Linked DNA regions of Struthio camelus. The protein of the gene in region 3 interacts with the protein of the main gene of each other region in a pairwise test. Links are inferred from orthologs where the notes say so. Each region holds a gene or a part of one and is shown on either strand. Other genes may lie near its edges.

Region 1 (6,949 bases), on a different chromosome or scaffold from region 3:
GGCCCCTCCGGACGAAGAGGCGCTGCCGGACGCCTGGGCCCCCCCCGAGGAGCCGACGAGCCCGGACGCCTGGGCCCCCCCCGAGGAGCCGACGAGCCCGGACGCCGGGGCCCCCCCCGAGGAGCCGACGGGCCCGGACGCCTGGGCCCCCCCCGAGGAGCCGACGGGCCCGGACGCCGGGGCCCCGCGCCAGCCGCCCGCTTTCCGCCTGCCCGGGAGCCCCCTGGACGCCCAGGCGCTGCCCGACGGCTCCTTCCTGCTGTGGGCGGGGGCTGCCCAGCCCCGCCTCTGGCGCCTGGTGAGGGCCCTGGCGTCCGGGGGGGGCCCAGGCGTCCGGGAGAAGGGGCCCAGGAGTCCGGGGGGGGGCAGGAGTCCGGGTGGGGGGCCCAGGCGTCCGGGGAGGGGCCCAGGTGTCTGGGAGAAGGGCCCAAGTATCCTGGGAGGGGCCCAGGCGTCCGGGTGGGTGGGGAGGGGAGGGGCCCAGGCGTCCGGGAAGGGGACCCAGGCGTCCAGGAGGGACCCAGGCGTCCGGGGCAGGGGCCCAGGCGTCCGGGGAAGGGGCCCAGGTGTCCGGGAAGGGGCCCAGGTGTCCGGGGAAGGGACCCAGGCGTCCAGGAAGGGGGCCCAGGTGTCCGGGGAAGGGCCCAGGTGTCCAGGGAAGGGGCCCAGGCGTCCGGGAAGGGGCCCAGGTGTCCGGGGAAGGGGCCCAGGTGTCCGGGGAGGGGCCCAGGTGTCCGGGGCAGGGGCCCAGGTGTCCGGGGAAGGGCCCAGGTGTCTGGGAGGCCCCGCGTGACGTGCCGTGCCGGCCGGTGGCAGGTGCCGGGGGGGCGGGGCTGGCAGGCCCAGGACGCCGGGGCCCCCGCCGCCCCCCCGCAGCCCCTCGGCCCCTCGCAGTGGTTCAACGGCGGCTGCTTCCTGCCTGGTGAGCGGTTTGGGGTGAAAAATGGTGGTTTTGGGGGCGGCCGGGTCTGGGGGCTGCGTTTGGGGTGAAAAGGGGGGATTTTGGGGGTTCTAGGGGCTGTTTTTGGGGTGAAAAAGGGAGATTTTGGGTTTCTGGGGGCTGGTTTTGGGGTGAAAAGGGCATTTTGGGGCACTGGGGCTGGTTTTGGGGTGAAAAGGGGGGATTTTGGGGCGCTGGGGCTGGTTTGGGGGGGGTCCGGGGTGGTTTCGGGGAGGCCTGACGCCGCCGCCCAGGTGAGGGGCTCTTCCTGGGCCGCTCCGATGGCACCTTGTGGGCGACCCGGGGCCGGGGCGACAGCAGGGCCTGGAGCTGCCGCAAGGTGGGTGACCACGGAGGGGCCCAGGCGTCCGGGGAAGGGGCCCAGGCGTCCGGGGAAGGGGCCCAGGCGTCCGGGGAGGGGCCCAGGTGTCTGGGAAGGGGCCCAGGTGTTCGGGAAGGGGCCCAGGCGTCCGGGGAGGGGCCCCGGCGTTCGGGGGGGCGCCCAGGTGTCCGAGGAAGGGGCCCGGGTGTCCGGGATGAGGGGCCCAGGTGTCCGGGGAGGGGCCCAGGCGTCCGGGATGAGGGGCCCAGGCGTCCGGGGAAGGGGCCCAGGCGTCCGGGTCGGGGCCCAGGCGTCCGGGGAAGGGGCCCAGGCGTCCGGGGAGGGGCCCAGGTGTCTGGGAAGGGGCCCAGGTGTTCGGGATGAGGGGCCCAGGTGTCCGGGAAGGGGCCCAGGCGTTCGGGGGGGCGCCCAGGTGTCCGGGGAGGGGCCCAGGTGTCGGGGGAGGGGCCCAGGTGTCCGGGGAGGGGCCCAGGTGTCCGGGGAGGGGCCCAGGCGTCCGGGCGAGGGACCCAGGCGTCCGGGCGGCAGGCGCACGGCGGCGCGGTCACGGCCGTGGCCGCCCTGGACGGGACGACGCTGGTGACGGCCGGGGCCGACGGCCGGGCCCGGCTCTGGCGCCCTTCCGGGGGCTCTCCGGTGAGTGCGGGGGGGGGGGTTACAGGAGGGGCGGGGCTAGCGGTGGGCGTGGCCCGCTGACGCCCCGCCCCCCCCGGCAGCTGGCCCACTTCGCCTGCGCCGCCCCCGTGACCTGCGCCGAGGTCCGGCCCGGCCCCGAACCCGGCCTGGCCCTGGGCGACGCCGGCGGCCGCGTCTACTTCCTCCGCTGGGCCACGCCCCCTTCTGCTGGCCACGCCCCTTCTGCTGGCCACGCCCCCCGGACGGCGGAGGCCCCGCCCCCCGGCCCCTCCTAGCGCTCTGCAAGCCAGCTGCTGCCTGCCCTGCGGGGGGGCGTGGCCTGCGCTAAGGGGCGGGGCCTGCCGCCGAGGGGTGGTCGCTCCCCCCTGCGGCAGGCCACGCCCCCTCTTCTGCACCCCTCCCCCAGTGGAATAAAGTTGCCCCTCCCCTGCCGTCTCTGTGTGTTGATTGGAGGGGGTGCCCAGGGGCCCCGCCCACCAGCAAGCCCCGCCCACCACCCCCTAACAGGAGGTTTTGGCCCCTTAAGGCCCCCCCGTTGCGACGGTAGCGCTTGGCCCCGCCCCCCTCCGCCCGCCCCCGCCAATCGCAGCGCTCCGCTGCCGGCAAGCCCCGCCCCCGCCCCGCCCCCCGCCGCCCAGCCGGCCTGCGGGTCTGTTTGCATAACCCCGCCCACCTCCGCGCTGATTGGTCCGCCGCGCTGCCCGTCGCGCGGCTCGTCCCTCCCACCCCGGCAGCCCCCCCGCGGTGGGGAGGAGCGAGCGAGGCGGGCGGCGGCCCAATGAGCGGGCGCGGGGCGGGTGACGTCACGCGGGCTCGGCCGCCTGCCGTTCATTCGGCGCCGCGGCGGCGGCGGGGAAGGAGCTGCGGGAGCTGCGGCGCAGGTAACGCTGCCCCCCCCCCCCCCTTTCCCACAGCACCGAGGCGACCCGCGTTCCCCCCGCCGCCGCGAGCCGTGGGCGGCGGGGTTTGGCGGCGTCGCAGAGCACAACGGCGGCTTTTTTCCTTCACTCTCCCGGCCGCGGCCCGGTGCGGCCGCTCGCGGGTGGCCGGCGGCGAATTTTGCGGGGTCGCACAATTAGACGGCGGCGGCGGGCGAGGGCCGTTCGCTACCGCCGCCATCGCTCTCTCTTCTTCCTGCCTTCTCCTCAGGTGCGGCGGGGGCGGCGGCGTTGTGCTCCGAGGCGGAACCACCTTCCCGAGCGGCCGCGGGGAGGGCGGGAAAGCCCCGCGCCTTGTGTGTTTTAATAAAATCCTCTATTTTCTTTTTTTTGTTGTTGTTTTTTAACGAGTTTTTTTCGTCGCCTTTCAGCCGCTTTTCCTCCTGCTTCTCTTCCCCTCCCCCCCCCCTCCCCCGCCTCCATGATGGTTCGTCCCGCTTCGCCTCATGGTTGGGGCGGGAAAAGGCGTTGGGGGCGGCGCATGCGCAGTGGGCGGGAAAGGCCGTTGAGGGCTGGGGTTGCCCGGAGGCGGGGGGGGCGGCGCATGCGCGGAGGGCAGGAAGTGGCGCTTAAGGGGCGGGGCGCGCCCTGAGGGCGGCAAGCAGCGCATGCGCCGTGGGTGGCAGCGGTCTTTAGGGGCGGGGCGCGCCCTGAGGGCGGCAAGCGGCGCATGCGCCCTGGGTGGCAGCGGTCTTTAGGGGCGGGGCGCGTCCTGAGGGCGGCAAGCGGCGCATGCGCGGTGGCCAGCAGCGGTTTCTAGATGCGGGGCGCGCCCTGAGGGCGGCAAGCTGCGCATGCGCCGTGGGAGGGACCGACCCTTGAGGGGGCGGGGAGCGCCCTGAGGGCGGCAAGCAGCGCATGCGCGGTGGCCAGCAGCGGTTTCTAGAGGCGGGGCGCGCCCTGAGGGCGGCAAGCGGCGCATGCGCCGTGGGAGGGACCGACCCTTGAGGGGGCGGGGCGCGCCCTGAGGGCGGCAAGCGGCGCATGCGCCGTGGGTGGGACCGGCCCTTGAGGGGGCGGGGAGCGCCCTGAGGGCGGGAAGCGGCGCATGCGCGGTGGCCGGCAGCGGTCTCTAGGGGCGGGGCGCGCCCTGAGGGCGGGAAGCGGCGCGGGCGGCGCATGCGCAGTAGCGGCCCTCGCTTTCCCGCCCTTTTTGCCGTGAGGGGAGAAGCGCGCCTCCCTTCCCTCCCGCGAAGGGCGGCGAGGAGGCGGCAGCGCCTCCGCCGTCCCTCCCGCCGCCTTGGGTGCTTCTCCCTCTGCGCCCAGGTAGGGTGGCCGCCTCGAGCCCCGCGGTGGCTGTGGGGAGCCCCATGGCGGTCGCGCTTTCCCTGCCCGTGTCAGCCCGGGGTAGCTGTTCGGAGCCCCACGGCGGCCACCTTGAGCCTCCCCATCGCTCACGCTTTCCCTGTCCGTCCCACCCCATGGTGACCACCTGTAGCCACCCCATCATGAGCCACCCTCACGCTTTCCCTTCCCGTCTTGCCCCATGGCAACTCCTTTGAGCCCCACGGCAGCCACCTTGAACCCCCCATCACTCACAGTTTCCTTGCCTGTCTTGCCCACGGCGGCCGCCTTGAGCCCCCCCATTGCTCAGGCTTTCCCTGCCTGTCTCGCCCCACGGCGGCCGCCTGTAGCCCCCCATCGCTCGCACCTCCCCTGCCCGTCCCACCCCTCGGCAGCTGCTTTGAGCCCCTCATTGGTTGCACTTTCCCTGCCCATCTCTCCCCACAGCAGCCGCCTCGAGCCCCTCTCCATCGGTCCCTCTTCCCCCGTAGCGCGGCCGCCTCGGGGCGGAGGGGAGATCCGCTCGCCCGGCGCGTCGGTCAAGCAGTGGCGGGGTAGGGGGGACGGCGGGAAAACCCGCGTGGCGCCGGGCTTCCCCGCTTGGCGTAAGTCCGGCGGCGGCCGGCAGCACCCCGCGCCGCCTTTGCAGCCCGCCGCCCGGCCCATGGCGGTGTGCGAGGACCTGCTGCTGTGCAACTACCGCAAGTGCCGGGCGAAGCTGGCGGGTTACGCCTGGGTGACGGCCTGCTCGCACATCTTCTGCGACCCGCACGGCAGCGGGGAGTTCAGCCGCTCGCCGGCCGTGTGCCCGGCTTGCGGCAGCGCCCTCTCGGGCAAGCTGGACATCGTGCGCACCGAGCTGAGCCCCTCCGAGGAGTACAAAGCCATGGTGTTGGCCGGCCTCCGGCCCGAGGTGGTGCTGGACATCAGCTCGCGCGCGTTGGCCTTCTGGACCTACCAGGTGAGCGGCCGCCTCCCCCCTGCCCGCGGCGGCGGCCGCCCCCTCGCCCGCCTCCGCTGCCCGCCGCCCTCTGGCTCCAGGTGCACCAGGAGCGCCTCTACCAGGAGTACGCCTTCAGCCAGGCCGAGGGCCGGCTGCGGCAGGCGGAGCGGGCCTGCGCCCAGCGCCTGCAGGGCAAGGAGGCGGAGGTGGCGGCCGTCAAGAGCGAGGTGGCCTCGCTGAAGCGGGTGCTGGAGGAGTACAAGGGCAAGTTCACGGCGCTCTCCGAGCGCCTCATGGAGCGCAACCGCCAGTACCAGAAGCTGCAGGGCCTCTACGACGGGCTGCGCCTGCGCAACATGGCCGCCGCCGGCCGCGACTTGCCCGCCTCGGCCTCGCTGACGGGTAAGGCGCCGCCGCTGCTGCGGGCAAGGCGGAAGGATGGCCGCGGCGGCGGGGGAAGATGGCTGCCGTGGGGAGGGCGACATGGCCGCCACGGGGAGGGGGAGGCGGCTGTGGCGGGGAAGGTGATCGGCGCCACGGGGAAGGGACAAGATGGCCGCCGCTGTGGGGAAGGGGCAAGATGGCTGCCGCCGTGGGGAACGGCGCGATATGGTTGTGGTGGGGGAGGCGGCGGCCGCCGTGGCGGTGGGTAAGATGGTGGCTGCCATGGAGGGGTGTTATATGGGCGTGGTAGGCAAGATGGCAGCCACCATGGTGGTGGGTAAGATGGCGACCGCTATGGTGGTGAGTAAGATGGTGGCCGCCATGGTGTTGGGTAAGATGGTGGCTGCCATGGAGGGGTGTTTTATGGGCGTGGTAGGCAAGATGGCGGCCACCGTGGTGGTGGGTAAGATGGCGACCGCTATGGTGGTAAGATGGTGGCTGCCATGGTGTTGGGTAAGATGGTGGCTGCCATGGAGGGGTGTTATATGGGCGTGGTAGGCAAGATGGCAGCCACCGTGGTGGTGGGTAAGATGGCGGCCCCCATGGTGGCGAGTAAGATGGTGGCCCCCATGGGGGAGAGGCTTAGATGGGCATAGTAGGTAAGATGGCAGCTGCCATGGCGCTGGGTAAGATGGCGGCCCCCATGGTGGTGGGGAAGATGGTGGCTGCCATGGGGCACGGTGCAATCTGGTTGTGGTGGGGGCGATGGCGGCTGCCATGGTGGTGGGTAAGATGGCTGCCGTGGGTAAGACAGTGGCCACCATGGTGGGGGGGGGGTTAGATGGCCACGCTAGGTAAGATGGCGGCTGCCATGGCAGTGGGCAAGATGGCGGCCGCCATGAGGGAGGGGTAAGATGGTGGCCGCCATGGGCTGTAGGCAGGATGGCAATGGTGGGTAAGATGATCACTGCTGTGGGGGGTTAAGATGGCAGCTGCTCCGGCGGTGGGCAAGATGGCAGCCACCATTGAGAGGGGGTACAATGGTGGCTGCCATGGCAGTGGGCAAGATGGTGGTCTCCATGAGGGTGGGCAAGATGGCCACAATGGGAAAGATGGCTGCAGTGGGCAAAATGGCGGCCACCATTGGGAGGGGGTACGATGGCGGCCGCCATGGGGATGGGCAAGATGGCGACTACAGGGAAGGGGCGCTATGGCGGCCGCCATGGCGGTGGGCAAGATGGCGGCCGCCATGGCGGTGGGCAAGATGGCGGCCTCCGTGGGGCTGGGGCGCTATGGCGGCCGCCATGGCGGTGAGCAAGACGGCGGCCGGTGACGTCCCCTTCCCCCCCCCCCCGCAGGTGCGGTTGCCGTGGCGACGCCGCCGGGCGCCTTCGGGCCCCTCTTCGGGGCCTCCCCTCCCCCCGCGGCGGGCGGCAGCTTCTTCCCCTTCGGCTCCCCGGGGGGGGGAGCGGGCGAGCCGG
Region 2 (8,028 bases), on a different chromosome or scaffold from region 3:
ATGTTGCTGTAGGTGCCAATCTGTAGCTCCTCCAAAGTTTTGGCCATAAACTGAGGCTTTGGGACCTCCGTGATCTGCAGGGGACGGGGAGGGGGACAGTGCTGACGCTGGCTCGGCCTGGCACTCCCCGGGCCCCACGGCGCCGCCGGCTCCAGCTGCCCCGGGCTGACGCGGCTCGAGGGAGGCCAGGGGCCCGGTCCTAGGAGTGAAAGTAAAGAGCGATGGGTGCGGAGCGGGGCCTGGCAGGACCCCAGGGCGGAGGAGTCCTAGCGTTGGCACAGGTGGGGCAGCGGAGACGGGCGGCACGGTCCCACAGGCTCAGCCCCCCAGCACCCACGGCAGGGCGACGCACAAAGCGCCGAGGCTGTGCCCACCCCAGCACCCTGGAGACCGCTCTACCTGGCACCGCCCAGGGCTGGCTCGTCTCCTGCTACCGCAGCACGCAGGGGGAGACGGGACTTACAAAGAGCTTGAGGAACTTGAGGATGCGTTTGTGGGTGAGAATGTAGAGCGTGTTGCCCGAGTCAGGGTCGATGACTGGCAAGCGGTGGATCTTATTCCGGATCAGGGATGAGACAGCGTCGAAGAGACTGTGGGACAAAAGGAGGGGATAGAGAGGAATCAGTGCTTGCCAGGGCCCCATCCTTGCACCACGGTGGTGCTGGACAGGTCTGTGCCAGGGAGGATGCAGGGAAGATAAGGGCAGGATGGGGAGACTGCTGCGCCCCGGTGCGAGAGGAGCCCAAGCTGGGCAGGGAGAGAGCAGGGGCCCAGGGGAAGCTCCTAGGCAGCAGCAGCCACAAAACTCTTTTTGCCAAGCAGCATGGGGGCACTGACGCTGCCAGTCATGCTCCCTCCCGCCCAGCAGGACTGCGGGTACCTGGCGTTGGGGGAAATGCAGACCAGCGGCTTGAAGGAGTCTTGTAAGTAGACCTCTGCAGGGAGAGGAGACACTGAGGACGCGAGCAGCACTGTGGGCATGCAGGGTGCAGAGCCGGGGGGCTCCGGGCCAGTCTCGGGGGGTGGGGGGCTGACGATGGTCCCTCTTACCTCTCCACGTCTCTATTTTATGCTCCTCCAGCTCGTAGATCTGCACCTAGGCACGTGTAGAAAAACAGGAGTTAATTGCAGCCATCGCAGGCACGCACGAGGTGGACAGAGACCGGAGCAGAGCCGGGCAGCGAGCCCTATGGGACCCCCACCCCTGCCCCTCTCCTCACCATCGGGGACTTGTAGTAGCGGTGCAGGATGTTGATGAAGTCGGTGATGGTCAGCATCCCTGCGGGGGGGAGCGGGGTGAGCAGCATGGCCCTGCCCGCAGCCCACCTACCCCACGCTGCCCCGCTCGCTCACCCACAAAGCTTTGCTTCTTGCTGTCCCACAGCGGGGCAGCCCGCACGCCATTGGTGACCAGCGCGAAGAAAGCCTTCTTCACCTGCAGCCAGGGATGCAGAAGGACATCAGGAGAGGGACGAGGCGCCCGGCGGGGGAGTGGGGTCCTCGGGACCACCCAGGTCCCTCCACCTGGTGAAGGTGGCAAAGTCTTTGGGGCGGGAGGACGACAGCCCGAGGTCCACCCCGTGGCCCTGGCCCACCTGCAGGGAGGTGTCGAAGACGACCAGCTTGGAGCTGGTGGGGATCAGGTCATAGCAGCAGTGGGACTTCATGAAACAGCTGTAGACGCCGCTGTGGGACTCCTCTGGGGGACAGGTGGCATGAGGGGTCATAGTGTCCCCAATACATGTCATCGGAGAGGAGACGCCCCAAACCCTAAGAGCCCTCAACCTACGGGACACCCCCCAGTCCCTGGGACGCCCAGCCGAGGGCCCCAGGACACCCCAAACCTCTGGACAACCCCAACCATAGGACACCCCAAACCACAATCCTAGGACACCACAAACCCAGGACACCTCAAAGCCTGCTCCAAAGCCTAGACACATCCTGATCTAAGGGGCACCTCCCCAAGCCATTGGACACCCCAAGCCATTGGATATCCACCCTGGGTCCCTGGGACACCCCAAACTGTGGGATACCCCAAACCCCAGGACCTGGGACACCCCATGGACCTGGGACACTCCAAACCATGGGACATCTCCAACTAGGGTCCTAGGACATCCCAAACCCAGGGACGCCCCAACCCCCGGGACCTGGAATACCCCAAACCATGGGACATCTCCAACTTGGGTCCTAGGACATCCCAACCCCCAAGACACCCCAATCCAGGGCCCCAGGACACTCCAGCCCCCCAGGACACCCCAACTCCCAGGACACCCCAACTCAGGACCTCAGGACACCCCAGCCCCCAGGACACCCCAACTCCCAGGACACCCCAACTCAGGACCCCAGGACACCCCAGCCCCCAGGACGCCCCAACTACCAGGACACCCCAACCCCCGGGACACCCCAACTCCCAGGACACCCCAACTCAGGACCCCAGGACACTCCCACCCCCGGGACACCCCAGCCCCCAGGACACCCCAACTACCAGGACACCCCAACCCCCGGGACACCCCAACTCCCAGGACACCCCAACTCAGGACCCCAGGACACCCCAGCCCCCAGGACACCCCCACCCCGGGACACCCCAACCCCCAGGACACCCCAACTCCCAGGACACCCCAACTCCGGACCCCAGGACACCCCCACCCCCGGGACACCCCAGCCCCCAGGACACCCCAACTCCCAGGACACCCCAACTCCGGACCCCAGGACACCCCCACCCCCGGGACACCCCAAACCCGGGTCCCCGGGACGCCCCCAGCCCGGAGAGGCCCCCCCCCCGGCCGCGGGACGCCCCCGGCCTCACCCTCCGGCGCCGCCGGGCCCTGCTCCGCCGGGCTCTCCGCGGCCGGACCGGGACCCTGCGGACAGACACGGGGCAGGTCGGGCCGGAGCGCAGCGGAGCGCGGCCCCGATACCCCCCCCACCTCCACATCCCGCCCCCACCCCCCCGACCCGGTGCCCGGTACGGCGGCCCCCACCTCCATGGCCCCCGGCCCGCCCCGCCGCCGCCGCCGCCCCACTTCCGCCCGGCGCCAGCCCGCCACTTCCGCCAGCACCGGCCACGTGACCGGAAGCGCGCGGCCCGCGTGACCCTCGACCGCGCGGCGACCTTTCACCTCCCGCCGGGTCACCGCCGGGGTTGGGGGGGGGGGAGAACCGGGGGGTCCTGGGGGGGCTATGGGACCCGGGGGAGGGTCCTGCGGGCTTCTAGGGAGGCCACAGAGGGGCCATGGGGGGGTTCTGGGGTCTAGGGAGGGTCCTGGAGGGCTCCTAAGGGGTCCCAGGGGAGCCGGGGGGGGTCTGGGGGCTCTAGGGGGGGTCACAAGGGAGTTATGGGGGGTCTAGGGGGATCCTGGAGGGCAAAGGGGGTCTTGGGGTCCTGGAGGGCTCCTAAGGGGTCCCAGGGGAGCCAGGGGGGGTCTGGGGGGGGCTCTAGGGGGTCACAGGGGAGCCAGGGGGAGTCTAGGGGGATCCTGGGGGGCAAAGGGGTCTTGGGGTCTTGGAGGGCTCCTAAGGGGTCCCAGGGGAGCCGGGAGGGGTCTGGGGGGGCTCTAGGGGGTCACAGGGGAGCCATGGGGGGTCGAGGGGGATCCTGGGGGGCCACGGAGGGCATGGGGGGGTCTTGGGGTCCTAGGGAGCTCCTACGGGGCCATAGGGGAGCCAAGGGGGGTCTGGGGGGATCCTGAGGGGCCACGGGGGGGTTTGGGGTCTAGGGAGGGTCCTGGGGAGCTCCTAGGGAACCACAGGGGAGCCAGGGGGGTCTGGAGGGGTTCTGGGGGGCCCCAGGGGGGGCAAGGGGGGTCCTGGAGGGCTCCTAGGGGGTCATGGGGAGCCAGGGGGGCTCTAGGGGGTCACAGGGGAGCCATGGGGGGTCTAGGGGGATCCTGGGAGGCAAGGGGGGGCAAAGGGAGTCTTGGGGTCCTAGGGGGCTCCTACGGGGCCACAGGGGAGCCAAGGGGGGTCAGGAGCGTCCTGGGGGGGGGCCACAGGGGAGCCATGGGGGGTCCTGGAATCCAGGAGGGTCCTGAGGGGCTCCTAGGGGGCCACAGGGGGGTTCTGGGGTCCCCCAGGGGTGTCTGGGGGGGCTATGGGGTCTGGGGGGACACCCAGGTCTGTCTAGGGGAGCTCCTTGGGGGCAACAGGGTCCTGGAGGAGGTCTGGGAGGTGCAGGGGAGGCATCTAGGGTGTCTCAGGGGGCTCCTAGGGGGCCACGGGGCTGTGGAAGAGGCATAGGGGGGCACCTAGAGGTGTCTGGGGGGGCTATAGGGGCACCCAAGGGTGCTCTGGGGCCTGAGGGGGCATGGGGAGCACCTAGGGTCCCTTAGGGGGATGAGGGGGACAATACAGGGAGCCTCAGCCTGGGGGGACACATAAGGGTCCCCCAGACTTGGGGGGGACGCTCAGGGGTCCCCAGCAGGACTTCAGTCCCTGCCCCCAGCCCCAGGGGACGGTACCCGCCCCCCCAAGGCTGCGTCACCCCGTGCCAAGGGGGTCTGGGGTGGCCCTGGGTGCCGTGGAGCTGGGGCAGCTCCTCGGGTAACGCAGTGGGGCCCTTTGGTTTAAGCTTTATTAAACAAAAAAAACCAAAAACCCAGAACACTGAACAGTTACTGGGGACTGTCAAAGGGAAAACGTCCGCGAGCCGGGGTGCTGCAGGCAGCCGTCCCAGCCCAGCTCGCCACCGACACCGCCAGCCGCGAGGTGCGGCCCCCTCCCCAGCCCGAGGGCTTGGAGCCGCTGTCTCCCTTTACACCTTCCCAGCGGGGAGAGACGCGAGCGAGCGGAGAGTCAGACTGGCTTCTCACGCGCTTTATTTTAAAATAACATCCAGTGGTTTCGGTATTGGTAAAAACGGGTTTTCTACACGCCCCCGGGCTATTTACAGCTCTGAAAGTTAAAGTTTTTCGTATATTTTTTTTTTTAAAACTTTCTCATCCCCCACCCCCAAATTTTTTTTTTTTTTTTAAACATTTTTACCTTAAACCTTTTTGCAGCTTTGACGAGTTTGCGGAAGCAGCTTTCAAGAACGCCCCGGCCCTGGGGTGCCCGGACCCGCCGACGCCGGGCAAACCCGCCGGCCCCACCTCGACGCTCGCCTCAGCTCCTCCCGCCAGCCCCGGCGGCGACGGGAAACGGGCGCGAGGGTCCCCCCCCGCGCCGTGCGTTTGTGCGTTAAAGAGATCCCGGCTCCCCCCCAACCCCGGAGCCGTGTGGCCACCCCCCCCTCGCCCCGTCGGCGTCCCCGCAGGGCCGCCGCGGCCGGCATGGTGGGGGGGACCCGGTGCGTAATGCCCACTCGCTGCTTCGCTCTCCGAGGCCGCCCCTGCCTGGCAGGAGGCTCCCAGCCACCCCTCGGAGATTGGGTTTTAAAAATGCCACAGCCCCCCCCCTTGCCCCCGCACCCCGAATCTCAGCCCAGCAGAGCACAAAGAGCCCCCCTCCCCCCCCAGTCTAGTATATACAATATAAGGTATAAATAGATAAATAACCTCCCCCCCCCACCCCGTGCCGACATCGGACGCGCGCAGCCTCCGGCAGCCCGGAGCAGCGGGCGCTGGAGACGAGTGGGGCGGCCCCCGTGCGGTGAGGCCCTGGCCCCACGCGGCTGTGCCTGCCCCCCGGCTCGGGGTCTGGGGGGGCTGGGGAGCGGGTCCCATGTGCCCCCTGGCCCCCCCCTCCCCGAACCTTGGCACGTCGCGCAGCCGGGGCCTCCCTGGGCTGAGCCGCTGCCCGGGGCAGGGGACGAGGGCAAGGGGTTCCCCCGCGTCCCCTTCCCTGGGGACCCCCGCCAGGGGCTTTCTGCAGCCACATCCACGGGAGGGGACAGGGGACGAGAGATGCTGCGTCCCCCGGGGCAGCCCGAGGAAGAGGGAAAGGGCCCTTGGGGACGGCTCCCGCGAGAGGCTCTGCCGCGGCCCAGGGCCGGGTGGGTGCAGGGCTCACATTTAAAAACAACAACAACAACAACAACAACAAAAAATCTAACACTTAAAATGAGGTAGGTTTGGGTGCAGAAGCTCCTTGTGTCTTGTCGGGGGCCCTTGCCGCACGCGCCTCCTCCCAGCTCCGCTCCGCAGGCCGCGCCGCCTCCACGCGCTCCCGGGGCTCTCGTCGACACGCACAAACAAAAAGAGATCAAAGGAACCGAGCGAGCTCTGGCCGCCGCGCGGGCGCGGACGGGGCAGAGCCCGGATTGTCGAGCTCAAGGAGTCTGTGTTACCTTGGTAATTAGCGAGCAAATATTATTAGTTTTCGTTTCTAAAAATCCAGGCCGGCTCCGAACTCGCCCCCCGGCTCTGGCACCGGCTCCGCTGGGGCCGCTCTGCTCCCCCCGGGGCTCCCCCGCCAAGGAGGCGGGTTGGGGGGGGGGTCACGCAGGGCCCCCCCCCCCTCCTCGCAGGACGAAGCAAAGAAAACCCTGAGTTGCCAGTTCGTCCGTCCCGCTCAGGCAGGGCCGAGCGGCTTCGCGGCGGCCGCCCTCCCCGCCGGAGCCTCCGCGCCCCGGCCGCAGCCCTGCCCGGGCACCTCCCGCGGCCCCCGCGGCGCGGCGGAGGGCCGGGAGGGCCCCGGGGAGCCGGTGTCTCTCGGCGAGGTCTCCGAGGCGGGCGCTGCTGCCCCTTCCCCCCCCCAGCCCCTTTTCCCAGTTAGTTCATCCACTTTCGGCAGTTCCAGGCTCCGCAGTGGCAGGGGATCTTGTGCTGATCGTCCTCAAAGTCGAACTGGTAGTCGTAGGTGAGCTGGGGGGGAGCGGGGAGTCACGCACGGCACGGCGCCCGCCCCGCTGCCGCGCAGCCCCCCCACACACACCCCCCGCTGCCCTGAGCCTCCCCCGGAGCCGGTGTCCGCCCCCTCCACTGCCCCGTGCCCCGGCCTGACCTCCTCCCCCTTGGGGATGCGCCGGCTGGAGATGATGATGATCTTGTCCTCCTTGTCGAAGGTCACGACTTCGGCCACGCAGTTCGGGGCGCACGAGTGGTTGATGTACCTGGCGGGGGACAGAGCGTCAGGGCCGAGGCCGGCGCGACCCGGCAAGACGGCGGGGCAGGACACCTGGGTCGCAGCTCCAGCTCAAAGGTGAGGTGGGACAGACAGAGCGAAACGCAGGCGAACAGTCACCCTGCTCCCTCCCAGGGTGCCACCGCGGCTTGGCCCTGCTCTCACCTGGCTGGCCCCCCCGTCAGCGTGGCGTCAATGACGTGCTCGTTGTTGATGCGGAACATGTAGATCCCGCGGTTCTGGGGAGCAAGAGAGAGTCACCAGGTGCCCCAAGCCCCTTGCGTGCCCCCTCACCCTGCCCAAACCCCCGTGCCCCACCTGCTCCTCGTAGATCTTCTCCCGCCGGTTGGCCACCTCGTTACGGATGATGGTGCCGATGTACTCGATGACCATGGTGTGCTTCTCGATGTCCTTGGCCGCGTAGAGCCCCAGGCCCTGGATGCGGGACCGCGCCAGGTACACATTGTTCTTCCACTCCGTCTTCAGGCGCCGGTACTGGGAGGACTTGGAGTGCACGAACTGCTTGCTGTAGGGCGTGTTGGTCTCACCCGTGAATGTGCTCTGGTAGGCCTTGGACATGCTTGTGCTGTTCAGGGTGTGGGGCCTGCCGAGGGGGCCGGGAGGGCGTCAGAGCTGCGGCGGGGCAGAGCATGGGCTCACCTGCCCCCCGATGCCGGCTCTCCCCGGCCCCCAGCTCACCGTTTGTAGTGGGTGAGGATCTTGGGCTCAGAGCGGGCGCAGCCAGTGGGGTTGATCATCAGCGGCAGCTCCATGAGCGGGTGGCGCCCGTAGCGGAACAGGTAGTTCTGGCAGCTCTCGACGCCGGGCAGCTGCCGCGGAGGGAGCGGAGGGGCTGTGGGTCGAGCGGCAGCACCGCGGGCCACCCCGGCCCCAGAGCCGCCAGCCCCTTCCAAAGGGGGCTGGCCCATGGCACGTGCGCCACACATCTGGAGACCCCCCGCACCCAGGCGGGGCCCCGGTACCTACCGACTCGGCGATGCGCAGCACCGCGTGCACCGTGAGGCCAAA
Region 3 (7,420 bases):
CGGGGAGCGGCTCCCGGGCTGCGGGGCCAGGAGGGGGCCGCACGGATCAGCTCTTCCCCCCCCTGCGCCGGAGCTCGTCCGTCCCTACTGCAAACCACGCTGCAGCCGGGCCGCCCCCCCGACTCACCCCTGCGTCCCCCTCCAGCCACGCGGAGGGCGACTCGGCCACCACATCCTCGCCGTCGCCCCCGACCCCCCCCCGCTACCTGCTCCTGCGCTGGCGGGGGGGGTCACGGAGCCCCACGGGGCGCACAAACCCATCCCCAGGTCGCCGGCTGCCGAGCGGGGGCCTGGGGACCCCCGCGCCGCTGACCGCCCTCACCTCGCCGAAGTGCATGTAGATGTACTCGCGAGCCCGCTGGTGCAGCTCAGCGCAGCCGATCTGCTCGGCGAAGTTGGCGATGCCGATGGCGTTGCTGGGGTCGAGCTGCTGGATGAGGAAGTCACAGCAGGCGCGGACGACGCTGTCGATCTGGTACATGACGGCCCCGTTCATGACGTGCAGCACGCACTTCTCCCCCACCGAGATGGAGGCCGTGTAGGCGAACTCGATGAGGCGCTCCATCACCCGCGGGTGGATGCCCTCGATGGGCACCACCTCCATGCCCTGCTCCCGCAGCCCCGTGGTGAACATGGCCTTGAAGACGGGGCTGGACGAGGCCAGCACGACCTTGTGGGCCTGGAAGTCGGCGGGCGGCCCGTCCTGGTAGCGCACGCGCAGCGTCACGTCGCAGAGCTGCCGGCTCAGGCGCAGCTGGTTCATGATGCCGAAGGCCTGCTTGGTGTGCTCCTCCAGCGTGTAGCTGAAGGAGCGGTTCCCGTGGTGGGACGGCGTCACCTCCGCCTTGCACTCCGGCGCGTACATCACGGGCGCATGGCAGGCCCCGGGGGCCGCGGGGACGGGGCGGGCTAGGAGGGCGGCGAGCGCCCCGCGGGGCCCCGCGGCACCGCAGCTCCTTCACACCTGCAGGGAAGGGAGACGGGCAGGGGGCTCAGCAGGGCAGGCGCCCCCCAACACGGCGGCGGTGACCCCCCCCCCTTATCCGGGGGGTCTGGCTGACCGCAAACAACCGGCAGCGCCCGGGGGGCCGACCGGGAGGAACTAGCGACGCTGGTTGCAGCAACCGAGGCCAGAACCAGGCATGAGGTCAGCAGAAAGGGGGTTGTTTTCCCCTACGCGGCATGAGGTCAGCAAAAAAAAAAACTAAAGGTTCGTCTGCGGCGCCAACGCCGCCCCGGCTGCGCCCCCAGCCCCCCGAGGAGCGCCTTGGGAGGCGAAGGGCCACGCTCAGCACCCCAAACCGCCCCCCCCTCTCGCCCCGGGGACCTCAGCAGAGCCCCGGTCCCCCGGACCTCCCCCCCCGGCTCCCGCTGCCTCCCAGCCACGGGGAAACTGAGGCACAGAGCGGGCAAGGGGGCCCAGGAGTCCTGCCCTCCCCCTCCCACCTGGGGGCGTGTCCCCCCTCCCCTGCTCTGGTGACACCCCATTGAGCCCCCCACGTTGGGGCAGCAGGCCAGGCTGGGTGCCTGAAGGGGCCTGGGGGGGGGGTCCGGGGTGATGGGAGACAGGCTGGGGGGGGCACAGGGCCTCCCAAGGGGGGGCTGCAGGGAGCCAGGTCCCCCCTGGGGGGGGGGCACAACCTTCCCCGGGGGGGGGGACAACCTGGGGGGGGGGAACGGCCTGGGCACAGAGCGGGGTGTTCCCCCCCGCAAGGCAACACGGGGAGGGGAACACAATTTGGGGGGGGGGATCTCCACCCCCACCCAAGGTTACACAGAGGGGCACAGCTCAAGGGGGGAACCCCCCTCATGAGGCTACGTGGGGGGGCACAGCTCGGGGGGGGAATCCCTGCCCCCCCACACGGTTACACAGGGGGGCACAGCTCGGGGGGGATCCCCGCCCCCCCACGGGGTTACACGGGGGGGGGACAGCTCGGGGGGGATCCCCACCCCCCCACGGGGTTACACGGGGGGGATCCCCGACCCCCACGGGGTTACACGGGGGGACAGCTTGGGGGGGGGGGGGGGATTCCCACCCCCCCATGCGGTTACACGGGTGGGGACAGCTCGGGGGGGGATCCCCACCCCCCCACGGGGTTACACGGGGGGGATCCCCGACCCCCACGGGGTTACACGGGGGGACAGCTTGGGGGGGGGATTCCCACCCCCCCATGCGGTTACACGGGGGGGCACAGCTCGGGGAGGATCCCCGCCCCCCCACGGGGTTACACGGGGGGGATCCCCGACCCCCACGGGGTTAAAGGGGGGGGGACAGCTCGGGGGAGGGATCCCTGCCCCCCCACGAGGATACACGGAGGGGCACAGCTCGGGGGGCATCCCTGCCCCCCCCACGGGGTTACACGGGGGGGCACAGCTCGGGGGGGTTCTCCGCTCTCCCACGGGGTTACACGGGGGGGCACAGCTCGGGGGGGGGCACAGCTGGGGGGGGGTTCCCCGCTTTCCCACGGGGTTACACGGGGGGGCACAGCTCGGGGGGGGCACAGCTCGGGGGGCATCCCTGCCCTCCCCACGGGATTACACGGGGGGGCACAGCTCGGGGGGGGCACAGCTCGGGGGGCATCCCTGCCCTCCCCACGGGGTTACACGGGGGGGCACAGCTCGGGGGGGGGCACAGCTGGGGGGGGTTCCCCGCTTTCCCACGGGGTTACACGGGGGGGCACAGCTCGATTCCCCCCCCCCGGTGTAAACAAACCACCGCGCCGCCCGGAGCCAGCGGGGAGGGGGGAGCCGGTCTTTCCCCCCGCCCCGAACAAGCCGCCGCCAACCCGGGGGTCCCGGGGAGTGGCGGGGGGGGGGAGAGGCCGGGCCTGCCCCGGGGGGAGGATCCCGGTGGGGCGGAGCCGGAGGGGGGGGTCTCGATACCGGGCAAAGCGGCCTTGGCGGGGGGGGGAGGGGCACAGGACTGGGGGGGGGGGCTACGGGTCGGGGGGGGGGGTCCCTTTCGCGGGGGCCGGGGGTCTCACCCAGCCATGGCGCGGCGCGGCGCGGCCCCCGGTGCGGCTCCTGGCGGCGGCGGCGGCGGCGGCGCGGCCCGCTCGGGGGGGGGGGGGGGGCGGGGGGGGCCGTGACTAAGCACCGCGCGGCGCCCCCGTCACAATAAGAGTCCGCGACGGACACGCCCCCCGGCCCGCCTGGACACGCCCCCCGGCCCGCCTGGGCACGCCCCCCGGCCCGCCTGGGCACGCCCCCGAGCAGCCTGAACACGCCCCCGAGCTGCCTGGCCCCGCCCCCGAACAGCCTGGACACGCCCGCGGCCCGCCTGGCCCCGCCCCCTAGCTGCCTGACCCCGCCCCTCCGCCGGATGGAACGCGGCGGTGCCAACGTTCGGCGCGGCGGAAGCGGCGCTTCCGGCCGGGGCCGGGGCGGGGAGGGGAGGCACCGCGGGGGGTTTCCCGGGGGGGGGCCGGGGGGGGGCCCGGTGGAGCGGAGGCGCAGGGGACCCTGGCCGGGTTGGGGAGGGGGGGACACCGGGCGGCACCGGGGGGAGCCGGTGAGCCCGGGGCCGGGGGGCACCGGGCTGGGCGATGCCCGGGACACCCCGGTGGGACGGGGTGGAGGGGACATTGGGGGACCCGTGGGGGGGGGGGGGAACGGGCCCCCGTAGCTGCCACCACCGGGAATGGAGACCGGCCCGGCGTGGAGACGCCACGTGACCCTTCTGTCACCCGCTCCCCCAGCACGGTGATACCCCCCCCCCCCCCGTCACGGTGGCCCCGGGGTCACGGCGGCGTCCCTGACCTGGTGACCCGGCAGCCCCGGTGACGTCCTGCCCCGGTGACGGTGACGTCCCGCCGCTCCCTCCCTTCCCGGCAGCGCCGTGGGGCAGGAGAGGACTTTGCTCCGGCACCAGCTGGCAGCGCTGCCACATGCAGGGCCGCGTGCCTGGGTGTGCAGCACTGCGCGCCTGGGTGTGCGGGGACGTGACGTGCGCCTGGGTGTGCAGCACCGCGTGCCTGGGTGTGCAGGGACGTGACGTGCGCCTGGGTGTGCAGCACCGCGCGCCTGGGTGTGCGGGGACGTGACGTGCAACACTGCGCGCCTGGGTGTGCAGCACTGCGCGCCTGGGTGTGCGGGGACGTGACGTGCAACACTGCGCACCTGGGTGTGCAGCACTGCGCGCCTGGGTGTGCGGGGACGTGACGTGCAACACTGCGCGCCTGGGTGTGCAGCACTGCGCGCCTGGGTGTGCGGGGACGTGACGTGCAACACTGCGCACCTGGGTGTGCAGCACTGCGCGCCTGGGTGTGCGGGGACGTGACGTGCAGCACCGCGCGCCTGGGTGTGTGGGGACGTGACGTGCAGCACCGCATGCCTGGGTGTGCGGGGACGTGACGTGCGCCTGGGTGTGCAGCACCGCGCGCCTGGGTGTGTGGGGACGTGACGTGCAGCACCGCATGCCTGGGTGTGCAGGGACGTGACGTGCGCCTGGGTGTGCAGCACCGCGCGCCTGGGTGTGCGGGGACGTGACGTGCAGCACCGCATGCCTGGGTGTGCAGGGACGTGACGTGCGCCTGGGTGTGCAGCACCGCGCGCCTGGGTGTGCGGGGACGTGACGTGCAGCACCGCGCGCCTGGGTGTGCGGGGACGTGACGTGCGCCTGGGTGTGCAGCACCGCGCGCCTGGGTGTGTGGGGACGTGACGTGCAGCACCGCGCGCCTGGGTGTGCAGGGACGTGACGTGCAACACTGTGCACCTGGGTGTGCAGCACTGCGCGCCTGGGTGTGTGGGGAACGTGACGTGAAGCACCGCGCGCCTGGGTGTGCAACACCGTGCGCCTGGGTGTGCGGGGATGTGACCTGCGCCTGGGTGTGCAGCACCGTGCGCCTGGGTGTGCGGGGACGTGATGTGCGCCTGGGTGTGCAACACCGCGCGCCTGGGTGTGCAGGGACATGACATGCAGCACTGCGCGCCTGGGTGTGCAACACCGTGCGCCTGGGTGTGCGGGGACGTGATGTGCAGCACCGCCCCTGGGTGTGCAACACCATGCACCTGGGTGTGCAGGGACGTGACGTGCGCCTGGGTGTGCAGCACTGTGATGTGCAGCACCGTGCACTGCGGCATGCAGTGCAGCACCGTGCAACGCTGTGCAGCTCTGCGCCGTGCGTCTGGCCGTGCAGCGCCGTGCAGCTCTGCGCCGTACAGCGCCGTGCGTCTGGCCATGCAGCTCTGCGCCGTGCAGCGCCGTGCGTCTGGCCATGCAGCACCGTGCAGCACCGTACAGCTCTGCACCGTGCAGCGCCGTGCGTCTGGCCATGCACCTCTGCGCCGTGCAGCGCCGTGCGTCTGGCCGTGCAGCACCGTGCAGCACCGTACAGCTCTGCACCGTGCAGCGCCGTGCGTCTGGCCATGCACCTCTGCGCCGTGCAGCGCCGTGCGTCTGGCCGTGCAGCACCGTGCAGCACCGTACAGCTCTGCACCGTGCAGCGCCGTGCGTCTGGCCATGCACCTCTGCGCCGTGCAGCGCCGTGCGTCTGGCCGTGCAGCACCGTGCAGCACCGTGCAGCTCTGCGCCGTGCAGCGCCGTGCGTCTGGCCGTGCAGCACCGTGCAGCACCGTACAGCTCTGCACCGTGCAGCGCCGTGCGTCTGGCCGTGCAGCTCTGCGCCGTGCAGCGCTGTGCAGCTCTGCACCGTGCGTCTGGCCGTGCGTCTGGCCGTGCAGCTCTGCACCGTGCAGCGCCGTGCGTCTGGCCATGCACCTCTGCGCCGTGCAGCCCCATGCGTCCGGCCGTGCAGCACCGTGCAGCACCGTGCAGCACCGTACAGCTCTGCACCGTGCAGCGCCGTGTGTCTGGCCATGCACCTCTGCGCCGTGCAGCGCCGTGCGGCTGGCCGTGCAGCTCTGCGCCGTGCAGCGCCGTGCAGCTCTGCACCGTGCGTCTGGCCGTGCAGCTCTGCGCCGTGCAGCACCGTGCAGCACCGTACAGCTCTGCGCCGTGCAGCGCCGTGCGCGGCTCCTTGCCCCCGATGTGCAGCTCCGCTGCAGCCCCGCATGCCTCGCCGTGCCCCCCCCCCCCGCTGCCCACCCCTGCAGCCAGGGCCCCCCCCCAGGTGCCAGGGCCTGGGCAGAGCCGCCAGTCGCACCCGGTGCCCCAGGCGGCACCCGCGGGTGCTGCTCACACCCACCCGCCCCGCACCGCCTGCCCCCAGCCCCCCCAGCACCCCCCCCGGCAGCCGGGCTGTGGTGCCCAGCTGGGGGGGGCGGAGGGGGGGGCATCACCACGACACCGAGGACCCCTGGCCCCCCCCCGCTACTCCCGCTTGGCTGAGCCCCCCCCCCAAACACCCCTGCTTCCCCTACTCGGCTGTGTGCCCCCCAGCCCCCCCCCACTGCCCCCAGCCGGGGTCCCCCACTGCCCCTGCTCAGCTGTGCCCCCCCAGACCCCCCACTGCCCCCCCAGCCGGGGTCCCCCCACTGCCCCTGCTCAGCTGTGCCCCCCCAGACCCCCCACTGCCCCCCTAGCCAGGGCCCTCCCACTGCCCCAGCCCCCCCCACCCTTGGCAGCCCCTGGGGGCAGCAGAGCCAGGGCCGAGGCCGGGGTGGGGGGCTCCGAGGAGGCTTTTTATTACAAAGGCGCTATAAAACCGGGGGGGGGGGTGCTCAGGCAGGGGGGGGTGCTCAGGGGCGGGCGGCGGGGGGGCCGGGCGCGGGGGGGCCGCGGCGGAGGCCGGCGGCGGCGGGGCGCTGGGACGAGCGCTCCGACCGGCTGGCGCTGCCCTCCAGGATGGGGAGGCCGAAGGGGCCGGGGGGGCCGGGCCGGGCGCCCCCCCGGCCGCAGCCCAGCAGCCGCCCCACGGCCCGGCCCAGCTGGCGGCTGCCGAGCGTGTAGACGACGGGGTTGAGCAGCGAGTTGAGCATGGCCAAGCCCAGGAAGTAGTCGGCCTGGTAGAGGACGGCGCAGGCCGGCGGGCAGCAGCAGGCGTCCAGCAGCAGCAGGAGGAAGAGGGGCAGCCAGCAGGCGACGAAGGTGCCCACCACGGCCGCGACCGTCCTCAGCAGCGCCAGGTGCTTGCGGGAGCCGCGCGGGCCGCCCAGGCGCCGGCTGCTCGCCCGCACGCCGCGGTAGACGCGGGCGTAGAGCACGGCGACGCAGAGCAGGACGGCCAGGCAGACGGCCACGCAGAAGGAGACGTAGCGCTTGGAGAAGAGGGGCAGGACGGTGGAGCAGCGGGGCAGGTCGCCGAGGCAGTTCCAGCCCAGGGCGGGCAGCGCGGCCAGCAGCCCCGAGGCCGCCCAGCTGGCCGCCACCAGCCCCAGCAGCCGCCCCTTCTTGCCGCCCTGGCGGAGCTTCGCGCGGGCCATGGCCACGTGGCGCTCGACGGCGATGGCCAGCAGGCTGAGCACCGAGGCCGCCAGCGTGGCGAAGACGCCGCCCTCCCGCAGGAACCACAGCGCCGGC

Evidence for each region.
Region 1: the proteins of KEAP1 (region 3) and CCNB1IP1 interact in binary tests that used the Homo sapiens proteins (3 or more experiments, as listed by UniProt). The two-hybrid records come from large-scale screens. The link is inferred for Struthio camelus from reciprocal best matches to the Homo sapiens genes KEAP1 and CCNB1IP1.
Region 2: the proteins of KEAP1 (region 3) and PRKAG1 interact in binary tests that used the Homo sapiens proteins (3 or more experiments, as listed by UniProt). The two-hybrid records come from large-scale screens. The link is inferred for Struthio camelus from reciprocal best matches to the Homo sapiens genes KEAP1 and PRKAG1.

What each region holds. Positions count from the first base shown.
Region 1 is NC_090970.1:770,293-777,241, reverse strand, and holds the start of CCNB1IP1 (E3 ubiquitin-protein ligase CCNB1IP1), read left to right. Parts: upstream 1-3,889; 5' UTR 3,890-3,976; coding exon 3,977-4,123; intron 4,124-4,790; coding exon 4,791-5,102; intron 5,103-5,182; coding exon 5,183-5,486; intron 5,487-6,826; coding exon 6,827-6,949. Other genes in the region: TEP1 (telomerase protein component 1), read left to right, coding at 1-298, 817-922, 1,195-1,280, 1,812-1,919, 2,000-2,194. UniProt on the Homo sapiens protein: Ubiquitin E3 ligase that acts as a limiting factor for crossing-over during meiosis: required during zygonema to limit the colocalization of RNF212 with MutS-gamma-associated recombination sites and thereby establish early differentiation of crossover and non-crossover sites.
Region 2 is NC_090969.1:971,142-979,169, reverse strand, and holds the start of PRKAG1 (5'-AMP-activated protein kinase subunit gamma-1), read right to left. Parts: upstream 3,061-8,028; 5' UTR 2,988-3,060; coding exon 2,982-2,987; intron 2,862-2,981; coding exon 2,807-2,861; intron 1,700-2,806; coding exon 1,596-1,699; intron 1,436-1,595; coding exon 1,354-1,435; intron 1,280-1,353; coding exon 1,221-1,279; intron 1,097-1,220; coding exon 1,051-1,096; intron 936-1,050; coding exon 881-935; intron 591-880; coding exon 464-590; intron 200-463; exon of another isoform or gene 75-199; coding exon 1-74. Other genes in the region: KMT2D (histone-lysine N-methyltransferase 2D), read right to left, coding at 6,648-6,740, 6,880-6,988, 7,165-7,238, 7,318-7,603, 7,699-7,829, 7,987-8,028. UniProt on the Homo sapiens protein: AMP/ATP-binding subunit of AMP-activated protein kinase (AMPK), an energy sensor protein kinase that plays a key role in regulating cellular energy metabolism.
Region 3 is NC_090972.1:4,828,257-4,835,676, reverse strand, and holds the start of KEAP1 (kelch-like ECH-associated protein 1), read right to left. Parts: upstream 3,049-7,420; 5' UTR 2,985-3,048; intron 965-2,984; 5' UTR 866-964; coding exon 323-865; intron 1-322. Other genes in the region: S1PR5 (sphingosine 1-phosphate receptor 5), read right to left, coding at 6,640-7,420. UniProt on the Homo sapiens protein: Substrate-specific adapter of a BCR (BTB-CUL3-RBX1) E3 ubiquitin ligase complex that regulates the response to oxidative stress by targeting NFE2L2/NRF2 for ubiquitination.